4 linked regions of the Drosophila melanogaster genome follow. The protein of the gene in region 2 interacts with the protein of the main gene of each other region in a pairwise test. Each region holds a gene or a part of one and is shown on either strand. Other genes may lie near its edges. The genes, in order: CG18539, Ptp61F, Cyp9f2 and saturn.

Region 1 (2,929 bases), on a different chromosome or scaffold from region 2:
TCCGGATATCGTGCCACCTGGATTCTACAAGATTATTTTCAATTGTACCGGACCTGATCAGCCATCGTGGAGCTTTATCGGAATTTTTAAAATAATAAACAAAATGTTTTAGCTATGTAGCAATAAATATATATCAAATAAAATACGGCCAAATATTTTTTTAAATCCTTTAAAGCGAGCTTATACACGTGTTTTTCTGAATTTGAACTCGTATCTTCGTACATAGATAAATGTAATACAATGATGTAATAGAACATAAACAATAAAAAACAGAAATAAAAACATTTCCAAAATCAGAAACTAAATATATCAGTTACAATAAGCACATACTTATATAAAAAAGTTATGCGAAGTTTAAGTGTTTCAATGGACTATTCGTATTTAATGGCTGTAAATAGTTATATAATCATATACATTTAGGTACTGTGGGAAAGATCTGCAATAGTGTGATAAAATGCCGTGACAATGTGCACATTTTTTTTTATCAATGGACATGGCTATATAAGCATAAAGCCCGATTTCCCAATACTTAGTTTCATATTGTAATTATGTCTGTCCGGTGTTTTATTGCTGAACTTTGTATGGCACTCCTGCTCGTAGGTGAATGCCAAACGGCGGTAGGTTCACAGTTCATATCTTCCATATATCTTGTAATAATTTAAAGAATTATCCAGCGGAAATGGGACTACGAACCCATATCCATCGAAACCCACTCATCCGATGAGAGTTTAATAAAATTAGATATGAAAATTGAGCGAATCAATCGCGGAGTGTTTGGATTGACGCCAAGGTTGAGTGGAACTACGATACGACTGATGAAACCATGGTACGTGTGTCTTACTTGATAAGTTAGTCCTTTGAATAAGGATTGTGATTTTTCCGTAGGTCGAGGCCAATGTCCTTCGAAGCTCGACGGGAGATGTCAGCGACTACAAGCTGCTTCCTTGGGCCATTCCCAAGCAATCGCTATACGAACATCTGAACACCTATTACAAGGATGTTTCGATGAAGAACTTTAAGCACTGTTCCAATATTCCGCAATTCGAGGGTAAATTCCAACCGCCATTGCCAAAGCAGACCTATTTTGGCAACAAATGCGTGATCGATGGCGATGGGTTGCCAGAAATTGTTCCTGCCGGTTTTTATCTGATTGTGATCAAATGCTATGGACCAGGTCAACCCACATGGAACACTACGTCAGTTTTTAAAATCACACCCAAATTAATGTAAAAACCATTATCTTAGATAAACACATTTTTTTTTTAACTGCGCTTATGTTTAATAAAATCAATGGTAAAAATTTGAAATATTTTAGCTGTTTCGATAAGAAATGAGTGTCCTTGAAGGAGGTAAGAAATATTCAAGAAAAATTCAAGATCAGTAACAATTACTAGTGGAAGAGAATTTTCAGTTATTGTGTAAAAAAATTCACATTTCTCAAATACTTAATATACATTTGTAAGTTTGCTCAATTGTAGCTAAAGACCAACCAATAAACAAAATTCATATTTAATATTCAAAGTCCACACATTTTTTCATGTTTTTGGCATGCAGTCTTGTTTGACATGGTTAGCCCAAAATGTAACAGGGAGTTATATAATTAATACATGCAATCCACTGCAGTTTGCTATATAAATGCAACTAAATTGCAAGTTGATGAAGTTTAAAGTCTGGCTAAATGATTTCGTGTTGTTCGTTGCTATTTTTGCTCGCTACGCTGCTGATCGATGGCTGCAAAGCAGGAGTATGCCAGGATATTCTAACAAAATAGGATACTTATAATTTCTGTGCTCATTCCACAGCGTAACTGGGAGTATGAGCCCTTATCATTGACATCCTATAGCTCAGATGAGAGTCTCTTGAAGATCACCACAAAAATTGATCGACTTGGGCGCAGCGATTATGCATTTTCCATGACACTGGACTGGAACTACGATGTGGATAAGGACACTATGGTTGAGATATTGATTTTAATATCAAGTTTCTATTAATTAAGAAAATGGTTATTAATCGCTGGACAGGTGGAGGCAGACGTTCATCACTGCTCATCGGGTGACGAAGACGATTACAAAATGATGCCCTGGTCCATTCCTAAACAGCCATTTTTCGAATATCTAAACGGTTTCTACAAGGACGCGTTCATCAAGAATGTGGGCCATTGCTCCAATATGGTGCAGTTCGATGGCGATTTTGTGCCACCATGGCCACGAAATGTTTACAAGTTGGACAAATGTGTGGCCAGTGGCGAGGGACTGCCAGATATTGCACCAGAGGGTTTCTACAAGCTAGAGTATAAAATGACAGGACAGGTGGATTGGGGTTTCACCCTGATTGTTAAGGTCTCGCCAAAGGTTATTTAATATTATATTATATGCGGCTCTTAAGAAGTTCAAACATTTTTTTTTCTACTTAACAAATTGTACTATGTTGTGTAAAATGAATTTATATTAAATTGTATTAAATTAATATTTATAAAATTTATATTTTTGTATTTTATTTACAACGAATTTATCGTCTACATTATCAACTTCTGCATATCCAAATATGAAAGAAAATTTTTTTAGCCAATGCAAGCATGACTTGCGCGTTGTGTATTTGTGTAATTTGCTAAATTTGGATGGGTGATACCGTGACGATCAGTAAATTTAGATAAGCTTGACATGATTTACACCTATTCCAACTTCAATAATCTAACAATGTGCACAATTGTACACAATGTTTTCGTGTCACAAATGTTTTTAAAAGATAAATCTAAATTGACAGACTATAAAAGCAAGTAGGTTGCAACTTATATTGTCAATTTAACCAGAAATGATTTCGTTTTGCATTTCATCGCTTTTATCAGTGTGTATTTTTGCAAACCTTTACAATGGTTGTGCGGCAAAGGTATGCTAAGAAAGAAATATTCCTAAATATTTCTTTATTTTTT
Region 2 (7,721 bases):
TGAGCAGATCTAAGACTAGATTCTTACCTGGCTGGGAGCTGGCCTGGAATTGGATCGATGCCGTTCGCCTTGTGCTGCTCGTCGACTGGCACCGCTGGCTTCTCGTTGTTGGCATTAACATCGTCGGCATGTGGCTGTGTTGTCGCGGGCACGTGTCCATTAACTGGATCGGCATCGTGCTCGTTAATGGTCTCGTACTCCTCATCCTCATCGGTGTCGTCCTCGTCATCGTCATCCAGCAAGTAATCCTCATCGCTGTCCGAATCGTTGAAAGCCCTTACGGGTAATGGCGGCAAGGGACGACTGTCGGCCACCTCGGCATCGTGGATCATGTCGTGCTGATTAATGAAGTTGTTCAGGGCGTCCTTGCTCAGCTCTTTGCCGATACTTTCAGCTCCATTAGCCTGGGCCGCGCGCATATTGAGCGAAAGTATACCGCCGGAATTGGGGGCCAGTGGCAGATTAAGCGATTGGACGCGTGGGGGCAATGGCGGCGGCAGCTCATCCAGTGTGTGAGTCTCTGTGTCGTTGCTAATGAGGGGTTCTTCAGCGTCAAGAAAGGTCTGAAGAGAAATCAAATGTTCTAATTAGTCGCGGAAAATAATCAGGGCCTTCACAGAAATCTCTGCAAACCAAAAACAATGGTTTCTTTTTCGCATCAATTAAACAATAATCATTAAGCTGATACTAGATCACATAATAAAAAACAAAACTAAACATAATACAGTTTTCAAAAGTAATCATAATTCCATTAAACAATATGAATTCTAGTAACCATAACCAAGCCCAGAGATTTCTGTGACCCCCCAGAATAAATAGCGATGTGCAATATATACGGCGGTGCTTGGCAGCCCCCAAGTTTGACTCCCAAACGCCGACCGCTGGTCGCGCATACATACGGGATCGTGCAGCTTTTTAATGCCCTCGATGATCGCCTGGTAGGAGAAGTCCAGCTGGTCGGCGGTCTGTATGAGGCCCATGCGGTAGCTGCGCAGCTCGCAGAGCACCTTGGACACATTGCACTCTCCGTACTTGTCGATAAGTACCAGGCAACAGTCCACCAGGCAGAAGGTGCCCGACCGCCCGATTCCGGCACTGCAGTGCACTACGGCTGGACCCACGTCGCGGCTGAGGCAGCCGGAGTCGCGAACCTGCTGCAAGAACTTAAGGAATGCGTTCGGCGAGCTGGGAATGCCAAAGTCCGGCCATGTGGTGTAGTGGAACTGCATCACTTCACGACTCTGCTGCGTTTCGAGATCGGTTAATCTAGAGAAATAGTCAAAGGCAATTAGTCCACATGTACAAATGGTTTGAAGCAGAAGAAGAATAAAGAGTTCTACTCACTTGAACCATCGCCGCACAAAGTTCTGGTAGGTCTCGAGACGGACGAGCTCCACGGTGAGTTTGACGTGGGGCAGTTTCAGGGCCTTGTCGGCTCCCATCTCGTTGGGCCAGTAGAGGTGGCACTTGATCTGTTTCTTCTCCATCAGCTTGTTGAGCATGAGAACTGCTCTGGACTTCTGCTCCCATACCATCAGCCAGAAGTGGCCCACTGTGTCCACCAGCGGTCCTTGGGTCAGGATGTACTGGCGCTCGGCGCGCTCCAGCTAGAAAGGATTGATTGATCGCATTAGGCGTTTAATTAGGGGTGTGTGTATGCATTAAAAACGTGACCCACCTGAACCAGGTTCGCATTGATGTAGTCTACGCTGCCGCGCTTCAAAACAATGCGGGAATGATCGTACGGATTCACATCCCGATAGCGATTCAGGCCGCGGTTCGTGTGGCGTTCCGATTCCGAGGTGCTGAACTGCTTCTCCTTCGCCTCCCGGTCGCAGGTCTCACAAATTTCCTGGAATTCCGAAAAGAGCGATTAGTACAATCGAAACTACCCATAACAACAAAGGTTGAGGTGGTATTAAAATTCGGTCGCTTTACTGACAACTTATCAGTCAATTTGCAGGCGGTAATTCAGGGGATTTTGTGAGATTTGCGCTATTTACCTAAGCGTTCCAGACCCCAGAAGACAACTACTATAGTGTCTTACTGGAAGATCTCTTCTTTCTGGTACAAAATTCGTAAAAAATATAGTTTTCGTGTTACTCAATTATCTAAGACAGTAATAAGACCAAAAGTTCAAACTAATTAAACATTTATGCATGAAATGACCCAACGAATTCTTCGATACAAGAGCAAACAGCAAATAGCAGTGCACAATAGTATTGAATGGCATTGTTAAAACGAATATCAGAGCTTCCTTTTAGAACCATACAAACTGAGAAACTGTAAGGCGCAATTAAGCTTTTTACGATTTGTGTTCCGAGAAAATGAAAACGTTCAGACTCATAATGGTCTGATAATAACTAGTTTTAAAGTGATACATTTGTTTGACTGACTCGCAAACAAATTGTCAAGAAACGAATTGATAAGATCCTGTTAGAAGAATGCTAGAATGTTACAGAAATCGAATTTGTTTTTTTCCATGGGGGTTGCCCCCTTTGCAGTGATTCATCACTTGGCCCAGCGACAAGGGGCTCCTCCGGATTGGCAAACCCTGCGATTGAAGCGATAGTAGATACATGTAAGGGGCATCGGACTGGGAGGGAACCATGCGGCATATGAAAAGCCCACCCAGTCTACATAGCGGGCGTGACTAATTAGCCATGCGATGTTGGTGATGGCGATGGCAAAGCAAGCTGTCGGTAATGGCATTATCTTGGGCATGACCGGTGCGGCATTATCAGCAGTGTGAACGGGGAATTGCTGGCGCAGCTGAAAGTGGCCCCGCCAATTGAACCATCGAATCCGACTACCGAACCGTTAACAAGGTCAATGGCAACCACCTGGCGACGACAAGTGCTCCTTAAACTCGGCTCAAAGCTAATCACATGCATGCGGTGATGAGTAACCATTTAATATGGTTACCCATCAGCTCGCGTTGATTGCAGCTCGAAAATCAGTTGTTAATTGTCAGTTCGTCATGTTTCAACAATGAATCAGCTGCAAATTCTGCAGCTGACCTGTTATGAAATAACTTTAAAGAGTCATATTTTTACGTAATCTCCAAATCTGAGACGGGCTAATGACCGATAAGGAAGCTTTTCAAAGAGCAAAATCTCAATGGCTATCGCTACATTTGATAATTCGTAATTAGAAACGGAAAGAAATCCATGGTTGCACTTAATATTTCTCGAAACTCCTCAACTCAATAGCATTTCTACAATCACCTATTTAAGGTCTGATAATCGACGAGTCACGTGAGAATACGCGCAGATAATTGAGCTGCTTTATTTAAATGTTTGCCAATGATAAAGACTTTCAGTGTACTTATGATGTATAAAGTTGTATTCCTTGTACTATATCAAACTAGATATGATATATAAAATCAACAATCCATCCGGAACTTATGTAAATCCATAGCTTGGATTGGATTCATTCTGATGGAGAAAACAGTTCTTCGGCTCCGTTGAACATTAAGTCTTGGGCCGTTTACCAGCTACATACTGTTTTTTATGCTCGGTGGCTATCCAGGTGACCCTTCTAAACGGAGTGGCGAAATCCAAGCGAAGGCGCGGAAATCTCGGGGGCTTTGGTTTCCAAAGCGTGTCGTGCAAACCGTTTTATGGTTATTATGTTTCTGCTTTACCTTGCAACGCTCGAAGGAAATCGAGAAACAGTAACAAAAACATTGCATGCACGCAGAGCACAATTGCAACGATGGATAAAGACTTCTTGGCCAATACGAATTTGACATACCCTTTCACACACACTATGCGAGTTAACAAGTTTCATATTTCATAAAATCTGGCTTGACTGTTTCCAGAGAAACGAAAAAGAAGACGGTCACCTGTTGATACCAACGACTGGTAAGGACTATAACACCCTCTGGCAGGGTATAGCTGTGGAGGAGCTTCGTCACAGTCCACGGAGGTTGTCATAATGGGACGGAGTGGGTTGGGTGGGATGTTGATGGAACGGATGGATCGAGAAGGCGCTAGGTATGAGCTGATAGGCGGGGAGGGGCGGCGAGTTGAGAAGACCCAGTGTAACGCACTTCGTTCAATGGAAATGATTAAACATAAAGCAAAGCATAGCAAAACAATACGGTCCGAATGCGTCACTGCGTTTTTGGCTACAGTCCAAATCCCCTATGATGGGCTATCATATGGCAAATGTCAAATAAATTGGAAGTTTTAATGATAACCACAAAATTAGTTGTACCGTTTATGTTCACACATATTTGCGATTTATTAATTCTTAGAAGAATGTGTTTTGGAATTTCTATAATAAAGACAGATAAGTGCCTATAATGGATTATAATTTTCTTCAGAAATGTAGTAGCATGCACAGCTAAATGTTATTAAAGTAAAAATTGGGGTAGGTCGGTCTTATTCATAAAGTAATCATCGAAAAATGTGATGTTTTCACATTGATCATAGTTGTTTTTCATTGCAACAAAAATGAGTCAACGTTTACATGCTATGGAACATATAAAATTCAGCGAATTTAGATGAATTTCACGAAAGTAATATTATCAAGCTGAAAACTATTTATGATTTAATGAGAAAATATGATTAAAGAAAGTTTATTGAAATCTCACTTTGGCCTAACAAGATCGTCTTAGTCAAGTTGCACTGTATTTCAGTGGAAATGGCTGGTAGCTATTTTCCAGTCAGTTTCGACGCACAATTGCGGGCTGCCTTCCAGTTAGCTGGAAAATTAGATTATCCTCGACGCGAGCACAAAGGATGACGAACGAGGATGCCGAGGAGCGGGTCCAGAAACGAGATATTTCTACACACGACCATATACTGTGTCATCCTAACTGCGGAGTGGAATTCCGTGAAATCCCAATTCAAGTGAGTGGAAGCGCTGAAAGAGGCACAGAGGAACAGAGGAGGAGGAGTAGCAGCTGAAGACAGTTCGCCGGAACTGGCTATAAAGAACGAGTGGAGGTGGAGGAGGAGAGAAGAAGGGGCAAGGAGAGGATTCCGACTCCAATTCCGACAGGCAACCAGAAGCAGCCCAAAGCGAGACTCAAAAAACCAGACGCATGCCCTTTGTGCCCCTGTGTGCGTGAGCCTCTCTCTCCTGCTCAACGCGAGCGGGTGTGTGTGTGTGTGCGCGCGTTAGAGGAGTTCTTCAGTGGAGAGCACTGTCACCCCTCCACGAATTGTATTTTGTTTTTGGGGGACGGCAATCACAAACACAACGAGCTTCCCAGAAATCGCCTCCAATTTGATTTGGCCAAACGAGAATTCGCGGAATAGCTCAAGCGCTCTATTGATAGTCAAAGGAAAGCGTTTTTGGGGAAAGGTATGGCAGAATAACAAGCATAAATATGCCAAATACAGGCCAATACACACGCACGAACTCACACACACACGCGTTCGATGGAGAATGCAAAGTAAAGTGCAGCAGGTGTGCGTGTATGTGTGTTGGTGCTATTCTGTTTGTACATTCTTTTCCATGGGTTTTTGTTTTTGGCCAAAGCCTGGCTGTTAAAGCAACAACTGCAACAACAACAGCACTGACACACAATACACACGCACACACGTAAAGCTCGCCGCTGCACTGGTGTTGGTGGTGGAGGCATCTGCAGAAGCCTTTTGCGCACTCATCACATTTTCGTGGAAATCGGAGCGCCAAGGAGCTGTGGAAAGGTGTATACTCCGCATCCGTTGCGAATCCTTGGCGAATCGAACTGTGCCACAATCATTCGTCCAGTTTGTAACCAGTTTTCAGTGCAGTCGCAGTTGTTGTTGCCAATTACCTTGTAGAAGCGATGCCATTGCGGCCCCTTGTCCTTGTACTCCGCCTCGATTTGCAGACGGGCAGCGGCCGCCGACCCACTCCCACTCGTTTTCTGCTCGCTCATTGTGCACACTTTGCTGCGATTTGTTCCGATTTAATAACTTTTAATTTGGTTATCAGGCGGCTGGTTAATTTCAGAGGAGAACTAGAGCTGGACAACTCACGACAGTGTCGATGTATCGAATATTTGAGCTTGCGAAATACTATCGGTATTTGCAGTGCGATACCGAGTGATAGTTCGATTGTACATCACTATATTGATCGCATTACATATTATATTCTCTTATGGTGATTCCTATTTACAAATGCAAGCCAAACACAATATATTGTATCTGCGACATTATTATTCTGAAATATTAGTTACGTCTATCGATATTTTCACCATCAAATAATGTGACCAGGCGCTGTAGAGCAATAGAACACATACTGAAACTAAAGTGCTTGCGCAGAAATTAGAACTTTACTGAAACATAATATAACATTCGGGATAAGTTTTCTATAATTTATATAAAATTAAATACTTAACTAAAGACATAACAATATAAAAACAATTGAAATAAAATATTTTAAATAAAAATAAAATAAAAAAAATAAAATAAAATATTTTAAAAGTAAAATAGAAAAATTCTGATAAGAAAATTGGGTTCAAATACTTTAAAATACCGATATTACAATCGCTCATCGTTGACCAGTGTTATCGAGTAATACCAAAAGTATCGAATCAACAACTGTTACCCAATTTATTAATAACAACAGAAAGAAGCCAAAGCAAAATGCTGACCCGCGTGTTCCGCCTAGTGCACGACAGGCGCCTGAGTGTGCCTGTCCTGCGTTGCTTCCACCACGAGTTCTCCAAGCCGCCACAACAGGCAGCGAAGGGCCAGGAAATCGAAGGCAATCCCGAAAAGACTTTGGTTGCCGGCGTGCAAGACAAGTACAAAATATTCCGCGATGAGGAAGCCACGGAGATTTTTGATGTGGAAGAGGCACGCCACCAGGAGCAGCAACTTCCAGAGCCGGACCTGGAGCTGGATCACTATTACGGCCTCAATTTAAAGCGTAGGTTGGCAATCGTCCAGGGAGAGCAGAAATTTAAGCCTTTGTTTCCCTTTGCAGGAGGTGTTCGCGGAGTGTTCGACGTTGAGGACTTGGTGGAGCTGCTCCGCAAGGAGAATGTGGACGACATATTCGTCTGCTACGTGCCGGAGAACCTGAAGTACGTTGACCACCTGGTGGTTTGCAGTGGTCGCAGTTACCGACACATGCTGTCCACCGCGGAGTTCGTGCGCCGAATGTTCAAGATCAAGCGGGGCAAGGGTGACATATTGCCGCGCATCGAGGGCGATAAGAGCCGGGATTGGATGGCCATGGACTTGGGTGGGTATTGAAATAAATGCATATTCCGGTTTCTCCGCTCTAACACGTTCCGTTTCCTTTTAGGCAACATTGCCCTGCACATATTTTCACCGAGTGCTCGCGAGGAATACGATCTGGAGTCGCTGTGGGCCATTGGCTCCGAATTCGACCGCGAAAGCCAAAAACCCACCAATCCCTATGGCGATATTTTCATGGCTCAAACACCCCTTTCTTTCGTAGACAAATCGAAACTAAAGACGTAAAATAATACATTTCACTATTAATAAAAAAAAACTCTTTAGAGCTGCGTACGTGCGAGATCACTTGCAGTGTGATTTGGAAAAACAATAAGGTATGAATAAATATTTCGTGTCAGACTTGTTATTCTCGTGTCACGGCCAAAATAACTATGCGATCGCCCATCTCTAGTTTCTTACTGGGTGCATTCGCTCAGGCAGCCATCTTTAAAATAACTGTAATTTTTATTAACATCGAGCTCTAATAGGGCAATAATAGCCATAATCCGTCAGAATATGACAGCAGTATTTCCA
Region 3 (4,857 bases), on a different chromosome or scaffold from region 2:
AATGTAAACAAATTAATTGCATGTATCTTATGCACTTATAAAGCATACCAATCTTATGTTTAAAATATAGAGACAAAATATTTCGAAATTTTGTTTTCTAATTCTTTAATAAATTTTAATAATTTTTTTCTATTTTAATGGCACACAACTTCATTAAATTTAAATATTTAATCTTGGCCAAATTATCGTTTTAAAAGCAATCGATTTCATGTTGGCTATCGAAGTTTATGCGTAGTAGTTCAAGAACTAACAATTTAAGTTGAGGGATTTTAAGTATTAGGATGTAAATTAAACGTGATATCATCGATAAAAACTCCGCCAAGCATTTTCATTTTCAATAGTTTCTGGTAAAAATTATTTATTTAATTTCAACTTCATTATCAGAGTTACCGTGTAAACGAGCCACTCGTTGTTATCTGCAATCGATCTTTACCTGTTCGATTCAGTTTTGTAGAGTCACGACATAAGTATATGCTATCTTTTTATCATTTTTGGTATAAATTAAAAACAAAGAAACAAATTACCATTAATTGTTTAAATTTAATAATGTCAACTTCTTTAAAACATAACATTCAACAAAACATATTATTATTTTGATCGTTTATAAGATTAGTTCCTTTGAACAAGTTTAATCCAAAAGCCGCCTTTGGGTGACAACTGAAAACCGGAAGTAATGAGCTCTAGTGGAATGCAGGATTTCTTGGCAGGGGCAAAGCGGTAGTCCTTCAAAAGATAGTAGATAACAGCCTTTGCTTCAAGTAGAGCGAATCGGGAACCTATAATAAATACATTTTACATTTTTTCGAAGAACAATTTTGAATCAATCAACTTACCAATGCAGTTGCGTTGACCCAGGCCAAAGGGGAAGTATGTGAATGGCTGAATAGACTCCTTGTTCTCATCGCTAAAACGTTCCGGATCGAACTTCATAGGGTTCTCAAAGTACTTGGGATCACGATGGAAGCCGCATGTAGGCAGCCAGATGACATCGCCCTTCTTGACCTCGACTTTCTGGCCATCCACATCGAAGGTGATATCCTTGTTGCATTCTCGATCGACGGCAATTGCCGCCGGCCACTTTCGCAGAACCTCGTTGACGACCTGATCCAGATACTTCATGCCCATAATTGCCTCATAGGTCAGTTCTTTGCCCTCCAGGTCTTGGTCCACTTGCTGTACCTCCTCGTATAGCCTCTGCTGCACATCCTGGTTCTCCATTAGCTCGTGAGCGGTGAAGCACATCAGCACCGCCGAAGTCTCGAAGCCAGCAAAGAAGAACACGAAACACTGGGCGACAATGTCGCGATCGCTCCACTCGCGAACGGCAGATGCCTTGGTCTTCTCCGTCTGGATGATACCACGAGCCTCCATCAGCATGTTTATCATGTCGGGACGTACAATATTGTGCTCCTGTCGGTATTTCATAGCATCGAGCACCAGACGCACGAAATACTGAGTGCTTTTCCTATCGAAAAGCTCGACCTTAAGGATCTACAAGGATTATTAAAATTAAGGAATATATTTTTTTGATATGTGTGTATGCTGTGCCAACCTTATTAAGACCCTTCAATGCGAAGAACAACATGAACTTCATGCTCTGCAGGAATGTAAATGTGGTCAGCTTTTTTCCCATCTGATAGAAGGTATTTTCGCGATCCTTGAACGAGTTCACTTGCAGTCCAAAGGCTGTCGAGGCGATCACATCATTGGTGAATCGTGTGCAGTAGTCCTTCATGTCCAGTTCATTCTCCTGAACCCTTGAATCATCCTGCTTAAGACAGTCCACGGCCTCCTTGGCCACCTGGTTCATCAGCTGGAACATCTGACGCATTTTGCTGCCTGTAAATGCCGGACTCAGAGTGCTTCGCATATCCTTCCACCGAGCATCTCGCATGGAGAACAGCGAGCTGCCGAAAAGGTTACTCATGTCATGTGGATCATCATCGCTGCTGGTGGCAAACACATTGCGATGATTGATAAAGTGATCGAAGTCCTTTATGGTTATCTGCTTGATAAGATCTGGGTCGCGCACCATTAAAAGTGGTTGTCGCTGCTCAAAGATACCAAAAAATCTAAAAAAAATAATAATGTTAATGACCGATAAGCTTTTTGTGAGTCACACACTGATAAATCAAATCAGAAATTATTAATCGTGCGCTCAACAAGTTTAGAAAACGATAACAGAAATTCGAGTTTATGCATGGCTAGCGTTGTTCATTACCTATCCGACGAATTTTCAATTAACCCATCTCGATTTCTTTTTGGAAAACTATAAATTTATAAAGCGGATTTCTCGTATTGGTCTATAAATAAATCATATGTACATTAAATCCAATTGAAAAGGCTGAGTACAATAATGATTGCATGTTTATAAAGTAACAAAAAGGGTAAAGTCATACAAAGAGTTGCCCCAATATGAAGTTAATTAATAAATTAGATAACCTTATCGTTATAGCACTTTTCAGGAGCTTTATCAATTATTTTTCCTATCAAGTTTGCCGTCCGAGACAAACAACATTTAAAGCTGTCGTATAATCGATAAGATTATGGCAAACTAAACTAATAGAACCAAGCATTTCGCCAATTATCTTGGCAGTTACACACTGCTTTAGATAAAAGACTTAACAAAATATAATAGAGTATTTCTGAATTTCTGTAATTGTATATTCAAAACGTAGTCGAACGCAGCCGCACCCACTAAATGTGTGTATAGATAGATCACTGATTGCCTGACCTTGACATACGATTTTATATAGGCTTGTACGCAATGCTGGAGGCCAGTAGATACACACTTGTTCCAAACGTGTTTTAAGTGCAAGTGCAAGTGAGCCGGATGCATATTAGGTAATCAACTTATTAAATCCGGATCAATGAATTTAACTCACTTCTTACTTCCGCCTTTGGTGTAGAGATCACAGACTATGTCAAACATGGCCCTCTTCCGCAGGAACATGCCGGCCATGTTGCCAAAGTAGAGCACTGGCTTTTCATAGGCGATGCCCCTATCCTTGAAGAAATCATTGTTGGCGGACGCCCAACGGTAGAACAAGGCGGCAGCGATCGCAAATAGGGCGAAGAACTCCCACAACATGTTGACCCTAGCTTGGCGATCTAAGCGTCCAGAATATAACTAACTACGCCACAAACAATCGGGAGCGTTTTGTTGTCCCCACGCAGAGCTTTCTAACAAAGCTTCGTGTACTGCATTTGATAAAATACTTGTTGTCTGTAATACACACAAGTATGTACAAATTTCTGAGCGCAAATGATTTAGAATATCACTCATCATTTCATTATCACGGCGTGTTGGAGAAAATGCTGACGACTCTGAGCATACCAATATTATGTTTAAAATATAGAAACAGAATATTTCGAAATTCTGTTTTCTAATTCTTTAATATATATTTTTTCTATTTTAATGGCACACAACTTCATTAAATTCATATATTTAAACTTGGCCAATTTATCGTTTTAAAATTCATCGATTTCTTGTTGGCTATCGAAGTTTATGCGTAGTAGTTCGAGAACTAACAATTTGATCTGAGGGATTTTAAGTATTAGGATGTAAATTAAACCATCATCACCATAAATTAAATTATCATCGATAAAAAAGGACGCAAAGCATTTTCATTTTCAATAGTTTCTAGTAAAAATATTTTATTTCATTTCAACTTCATTATCCGAGTTACTAGCCACTTGTTGCTATCTGCAATCGATCTTTACCTGTTCGATTCAGTTTTGTACAGTCACGACGCTACTATCTTCAATAAATACAGCTCTTATACGGTGCGATTAGCATTATTAACATTTCGCCAGTCGGCCGAAGCAGACGAATTACCTTTCGGTCTGGAAGTGATAAGACATTTCTAGTCAAATCATTATAGTCGCATATCTGTGGACTCTGGAATGGCGGCTAAGAAACTGGATGCCATAATCTTCGGTGCCTCCGGGTTTACCGGAAAGTACACCGTCTTCGAGGCTGTCAGCGTGCTGAAGGGCCTGCAATGGGGCATCGCCGGACGCAACCAGGAGAAGCTGCAGTCGGTGCTGCGGGAGATGGGTGCAAAGTCCAAGACAGACCTCTCCCAAACGCCGATCGTCATCGCGGACGTGAACAACGAGGCGTCACTGCTAGAGATGGCCAAACGCTGCCGCATTTTAGTCAATACGGCCGGACCATATCGGTTCTTCGGCGAGCGAGTGGTCAGGGCTTGCATCGAGGCGGGAACGCATCACGTAGACGTAAGCGGAGAGCCACAGTACATGGAAACCATGCAGCTGCGCTACCATGATCTCGCCAAGGAGCGTGGCGTGTACGTGATCAGTGCGTGCGGCTTTGATTCCATTCCCGCCGACATGGGAGTCACCTTCGTGGAGAAGAACTTCGACGGCGTGGTCAACTCAGTGGAGAACTTTGTCCATCTGGGCGTCAAGGGAGGTACCAAGGGAACGGGCAGTGCTGCACTCAACACCGGCACCTGGGAGAGCGCCATTCACGCTATCGCCAACCGGAGCGAGTCTGTGGCCATCCGGCGCAAGTTGTTTCCCGAGCGTCTGCCCAACTTTCATCCGGCTCTTAAGTCACGATCGCCGCTTTCCCGTGCCGCGGAAGTGGACAACAAGGTGATCCTGCCGTTCCCTGAAACAGATCGCTCGGTGGTGATGCGCTCGCAGCGTTTCCTTTACGAACTGGAGAAGAAGCGACCCGTTCAGATGCAGGCCTACATGACGTATCCCTCATGGTTTGCGGCCAGCGTTGTCGTGCTCTTCGCCTCTATCATTGGCATTATGGCCAAGTTCTCCTTTGGCCGCCAGCTGCTGCTTAAGTACCCCACCGTCTTCTCCGGCGGCATGGCT
Region 4 (3,500 bases), about 13 Mb from region 2:
AGTGCAACAATTCTCTTAAATTATACAGTGATGAGTGTTACCTAGTTATAGCTAGAATAAATCATTTATTTAAATAACAATTTTATATAATTATATTGGCAATTTTAAATAATTCTAAATAACTGCCTATATAAATATTTGGAAAATTAGGCGTAAATTTCATTCTATATATGAACTTATATAAAAGAAAATAAGATGATTAGAAAGATTGCTATATTGCTATGTTTCTATTGCGGTTAAAACTGAACCGAATAAGACTATTATTAGATATCCCAATTGATAAAAATTTTTCTTACAGCAATCCTGATAGTTTATCCCAGCGTCGTTGGGGATCCATGAGACAGTAAGCACCCTTGAATATAATTTCTTTCGGGGTTTCATGTAGAGCTTCATATAAATCATAACCCCCATTCTTGCTCCATTTTGGTTTTGGTTTTTTGATTTGTAAATAAAAATATTTATAATTTATCTTAATTAAAAAAATTATTGGTGCACTGCTCCTTAAAAAATATATATATATAGTTTTTAATTCAGTATTTGTCCTCATCACATTTGATGTTTTCACAAGCGTTTCCATGACTTCGCTTATCTAAGATTGTTAATTTCAGCTATAAGTTGCCTTTGGTTTTTTTCCCAATTTTCCATTAGCTGGTTTGCTCAATTGCTTGTTTTTCTTCTGCCTAAATTAGTTATCAGTTTTTCCCATCTTATTCGCCTGTTTCAATTGTTGTACAACTACATAGATGTTCAATTGGGCAATTTTCAAGAGCTTTCCTAACGCTGCCACCCCCAAAAACTAAAATTTATGATTATTGCCGGCGGGGGAGGCTGTCATAAAAGTTACAACCGAAAAAAAAATTGCTCTCTTTTCTGGGACTTAATTGCAACTGAAACCAAAACGAAAGTAAAATAAATATATCAGATTAACAGCATGAGATTTATGTTAGTACAATGAGAGAGCTCCAAGATGGAATCTGCTGCAATTTATATAACTTCCTTTGGCAGTTCTGCTTGTCAACTGGCGACCGTGCTTCCTGCTGCCATCTTCTTGAGCCAAAAGTAGTTTGGCCGCTTTTGTGAACTTTTCTCGGGGACCGAGCGAAAAGGTTGAAGGTAGAAGATGCGGGTCTTTTCTTGTCTCCCCTCAATTTAGCCAACTCCTTCCCTCTTGATGTGGCTTACAAGTTGGCTGACTCGATGGGGTTGTCATGCTGTTGGAATTTATTTTTTCGCTCATCCGATCGGAGGAAGTGAAGTGAGAGGGTTCCAGAAACAGGTTTAACTTGCCGCAATTGTTAACTCTTCAGAATTTAGGCCGGCACTTTTGTCAAGTCGCGAACAAAATTTGACCCAAAATAAAACTCAGTCTGCTGATGTTATCGATTCTGACACATTTATCTCGTATCGTTATGTACTGTTATATACTTTTGATCATTTTGATCATTAAACTAAGGCTGTAATAGTTAGATCATTACTAGAGCATCGATCAATATCGATTAGCATTTCAATTATTAAACAAATTTTTTTCATAAACATTTCTTCGAAAATTATGCACGAAATCGGATAAAGTAATTAAAATCGTCTGCATTTAAGGCGTGTGCAAATCAGTTAACCCCACGCAGGCTATAAATTGTGGTTGCTCTGTCAACTTTCCGGACCTTGATGTTCTTCCCATGGCTTCTACTCTTTTCGAAGCAACTACAACTTGGGCCGACTTGAATTTGTCATGCAAATGCCTTTGTTTTTGCTCCGCTGCTGGGAACATGTTTTTCCCACTCTCTGCACTTGGCATTCAAAAAAGCTGCACTGGGAAATGGTGGGGGAAAATGCATTAAAGAACCGAGAACAATTAGGGAAAATTGTGGGAAGAGGTTAAAGATTTTTATCTGAAAAAGGAAAGGGAATGAGTGGAATTCTACAATTATTTTCTTTAAAAGAACGAATATTTTTCCACATAGGAACATTTTAAATGTTGTCATTTGAATTCAGTCTAGCAAGCAAAGAAAATACTTTTCAAATCACATTATAAAAGTGATAACATCACCGGTTGGTTATCCGTTTTAATACAACCTAAATTACAGATAGAAACTAACAAAAAGTCAGGCCCAAAATGTGGAACTATCGTCAGAAAGTTGATTTGGAAACATCGGTAAAGATATCGCCGTATTGCAATTCTTGGCCATCGGCTTGTTGGTTTACTCTTAAAGGCATTGATTTGTTGAAACTTCTGGTATTGGAAAGATCACCAACTTACCTGGTGATTCTTACGATTGTCCTTATCGTACTCCTCTTACTTGTATTTAAAAGATTCAAACACAAATGGAACGATGTAAGTTAAAGGGGGGGGAAAACGTACAGTAGAAGGGGCTTAATAGGGTTTTGTTCTAGGTGCCTATGTCGGAGATTGAGTCACTGAGAAAACGTGTTAAGTTTGTAACCAAGGATATGGCCATGCTGCAAGAAGCCCTAAATTCGACCGTAATACCCAAGCCGCCGCTAGCGATTTCTGATGATATTAGGAGTAATATTAATTACTTGGATGAACCAGAGTCCAACGCAAATGATGACAAACTTTCAGAATTTAAAGAAATCTTTGATCCTTTCCCCCCAGAATTCGACAAAATTAGTGAAACTAAAGCGCTAGTACGAGAAGAAAATAAACCGGAGCCTGTGATTCCAGACGCCGAACCTCGAGAAGATTCCGTAGTAAAAAATAGGGTGCGATTTGCTCTAACAGATCAGGGAAAACCAGCCAAAGATGAGACCAAGCACATTAATATAGCGAAACCCACGAAGATTATAGCTGAAAATAATGTATCCGTGGAAAATAGAAATATGCGTAAACGGTCATCTCCTTCAAACACGAAAACGGGATGGAAGCTCTAGATCTATTTTCAGGAATTTTCATATTGAAATTTCATTAAAATTGTAGTGCTCGAATTTGTAATAAACCATTCATAGTGATTTGTATAAAACTTGTTGTGATCGTAATTCATTATAGCCCTATGCCAACCTTGACATCTTGCCTTCGCAAGCGTTTTGGCTTTAAGTGATTTCCAATTGTCTTTCGTGGTAATTTTCACCTATTTCATTGTGTATCTCTGTTTTCCCGTGCATAGTTCCCAAGTCTACGTGGTTGGCCCTCAATTAGCCTTAAAGGTGGCCGGCTGCCTAATCGAGGCAGTTTCCAAGCCACTTTGCGGGGGCCCAACATTGTTTGGCAGTTGGCTTGCATTTCTTGGCTATTTGGCAGACCTGGCGACAATTTCCCGTTTTTTTCCCCCTGCATGTATTTGAATTATTTGGCAGCTGAAAACGGCTTGAAAGTACGTCTGTCGCCAATTTGGCTTCGGTTTTAGGTAATTGCCATCTATCTAATAGGTACATGAGAATGTTTATTGTTGGCCAGATTTGTAGATGTTGCATAGTTTTAGTTTTTAGTATCGCCGAACAACATGTTGGCAGCAAACAAGTTGCATGGGAAAGTGTATGGGATTGTA

Evidence for each region.
Region 1: the proteins of Ptp61F (region 2) and CG18539 interact in a two-hybrid assay, tested with the Drosophila melanogaster proteins (one large-scale study listed by BioGRID).
Region 3: the proteins of Ptp61F (region 2) and Cyp9f2 interact in a two-hybrid assay, tested with the Drosophila melanogaster proteins (one large-scale study listed by BioGRID).
Region 4: the proteins of Ptp61F (region 2) and saturn interact in a two-hybrid assay, tested with the Drosophila melanogaster proteins (one large-scale study listed by BioGRID).

The regions. Positions count from the first base shown.
Region 1 is NT_033778.4:18,296,522-18,299,450, forward strand, and holds CG18539 (uncharacterized protein), read left to right. Parts: upstream 1-1,659; 5' UTR 1,660-1,678; coding exon 1,679-1,744; intron 1,745-1,802; coding exon 1,803-1,955; intron 1,956-2,021; coding exon 2,022-2,360; 3' UTR 2,361-2,382; downstream 2,383-2,929. Other genes in the region: CG18537 (uncharacterized protein), read left to right, coding at 1-112; CG18538 (uncharacterized protein), read left to right, coding at 549-596, 675-830, 886-1,230; CG18540 (uncharacterized protein), read left to right, coding at 2,812-2,886.
Region 2 is NT_037436.4:1,344,599-1,352,319, forward strand, and holds the start of Ptp61F (protein tyrosine phosphatase 61F), read right to left. Parts: upstream 6,002-7,721; 5' UTR 5,879-6,001; coding exon 5,774-5,878; intron 4,945-5,773; exon of another isoform or gene 4,601-4,944; intron 1,853-4,600; coding exon 1,679-1,852; intron 1,608-1,678; coding exon 1,345-1,607; intron 1,267-1,344; coding exon 900-1,266; intron 564-899; coding exon 28-563; intron 1-27. Other genes in the region: CG9166 (uncharacterized protein), read left to right, coding at 6,588-6,873, 6,931-7,191, 7,255-7,433. UniProt on the Drosophila melanogaster protein: Non-receptor protein tyrosine phosphatase. Required for maintaining dock/dreadlocks in its non-phosphorylated state. Negative regulator of InR/insulin-like receptor signaling through dephosphorylation of tyrosines when recruited by dock/dreadlocks.
Region 3 is NT_033777.3:12,402,818-12,407,674, forward strand, and holds Cyp9f2 (cytochrome P450 9f2), read right to left. Parts: upstream 3,212-4,857; 5' UTR 3,092-3,211; coding exon 2,886-3,091; intron 2,073-2,885; coding exon 1,553-2,072; intron 1,492-1,552; coding exon 834-1,491; intron 777-833; coding exon 610-776; 3' UTR 523-609; downstream 1-522. Other genes in the region: Sol1, read left to right, coding at 1-63; CG5167 (uncharacterized protein), read left to right, coding at 3,907-4,857. UniProt on the Drosophila melanogaster protein: May be involved in the metabolism of insect hormones and in the breakdown of synthetic insecticides.
Region 4 is NT_037436.4:14,201,324-14,204,823, forward strand, and holds saturn (saturn), read left to right. Parts: upstream 1-1,999; 5' UTR 2,000-2,110; coding exon 2,111-2,329; intron 2,330-2,388; coding exon 2,389-2,886; 3' UTR 2,887-2,971; downstream 2,972-3,500.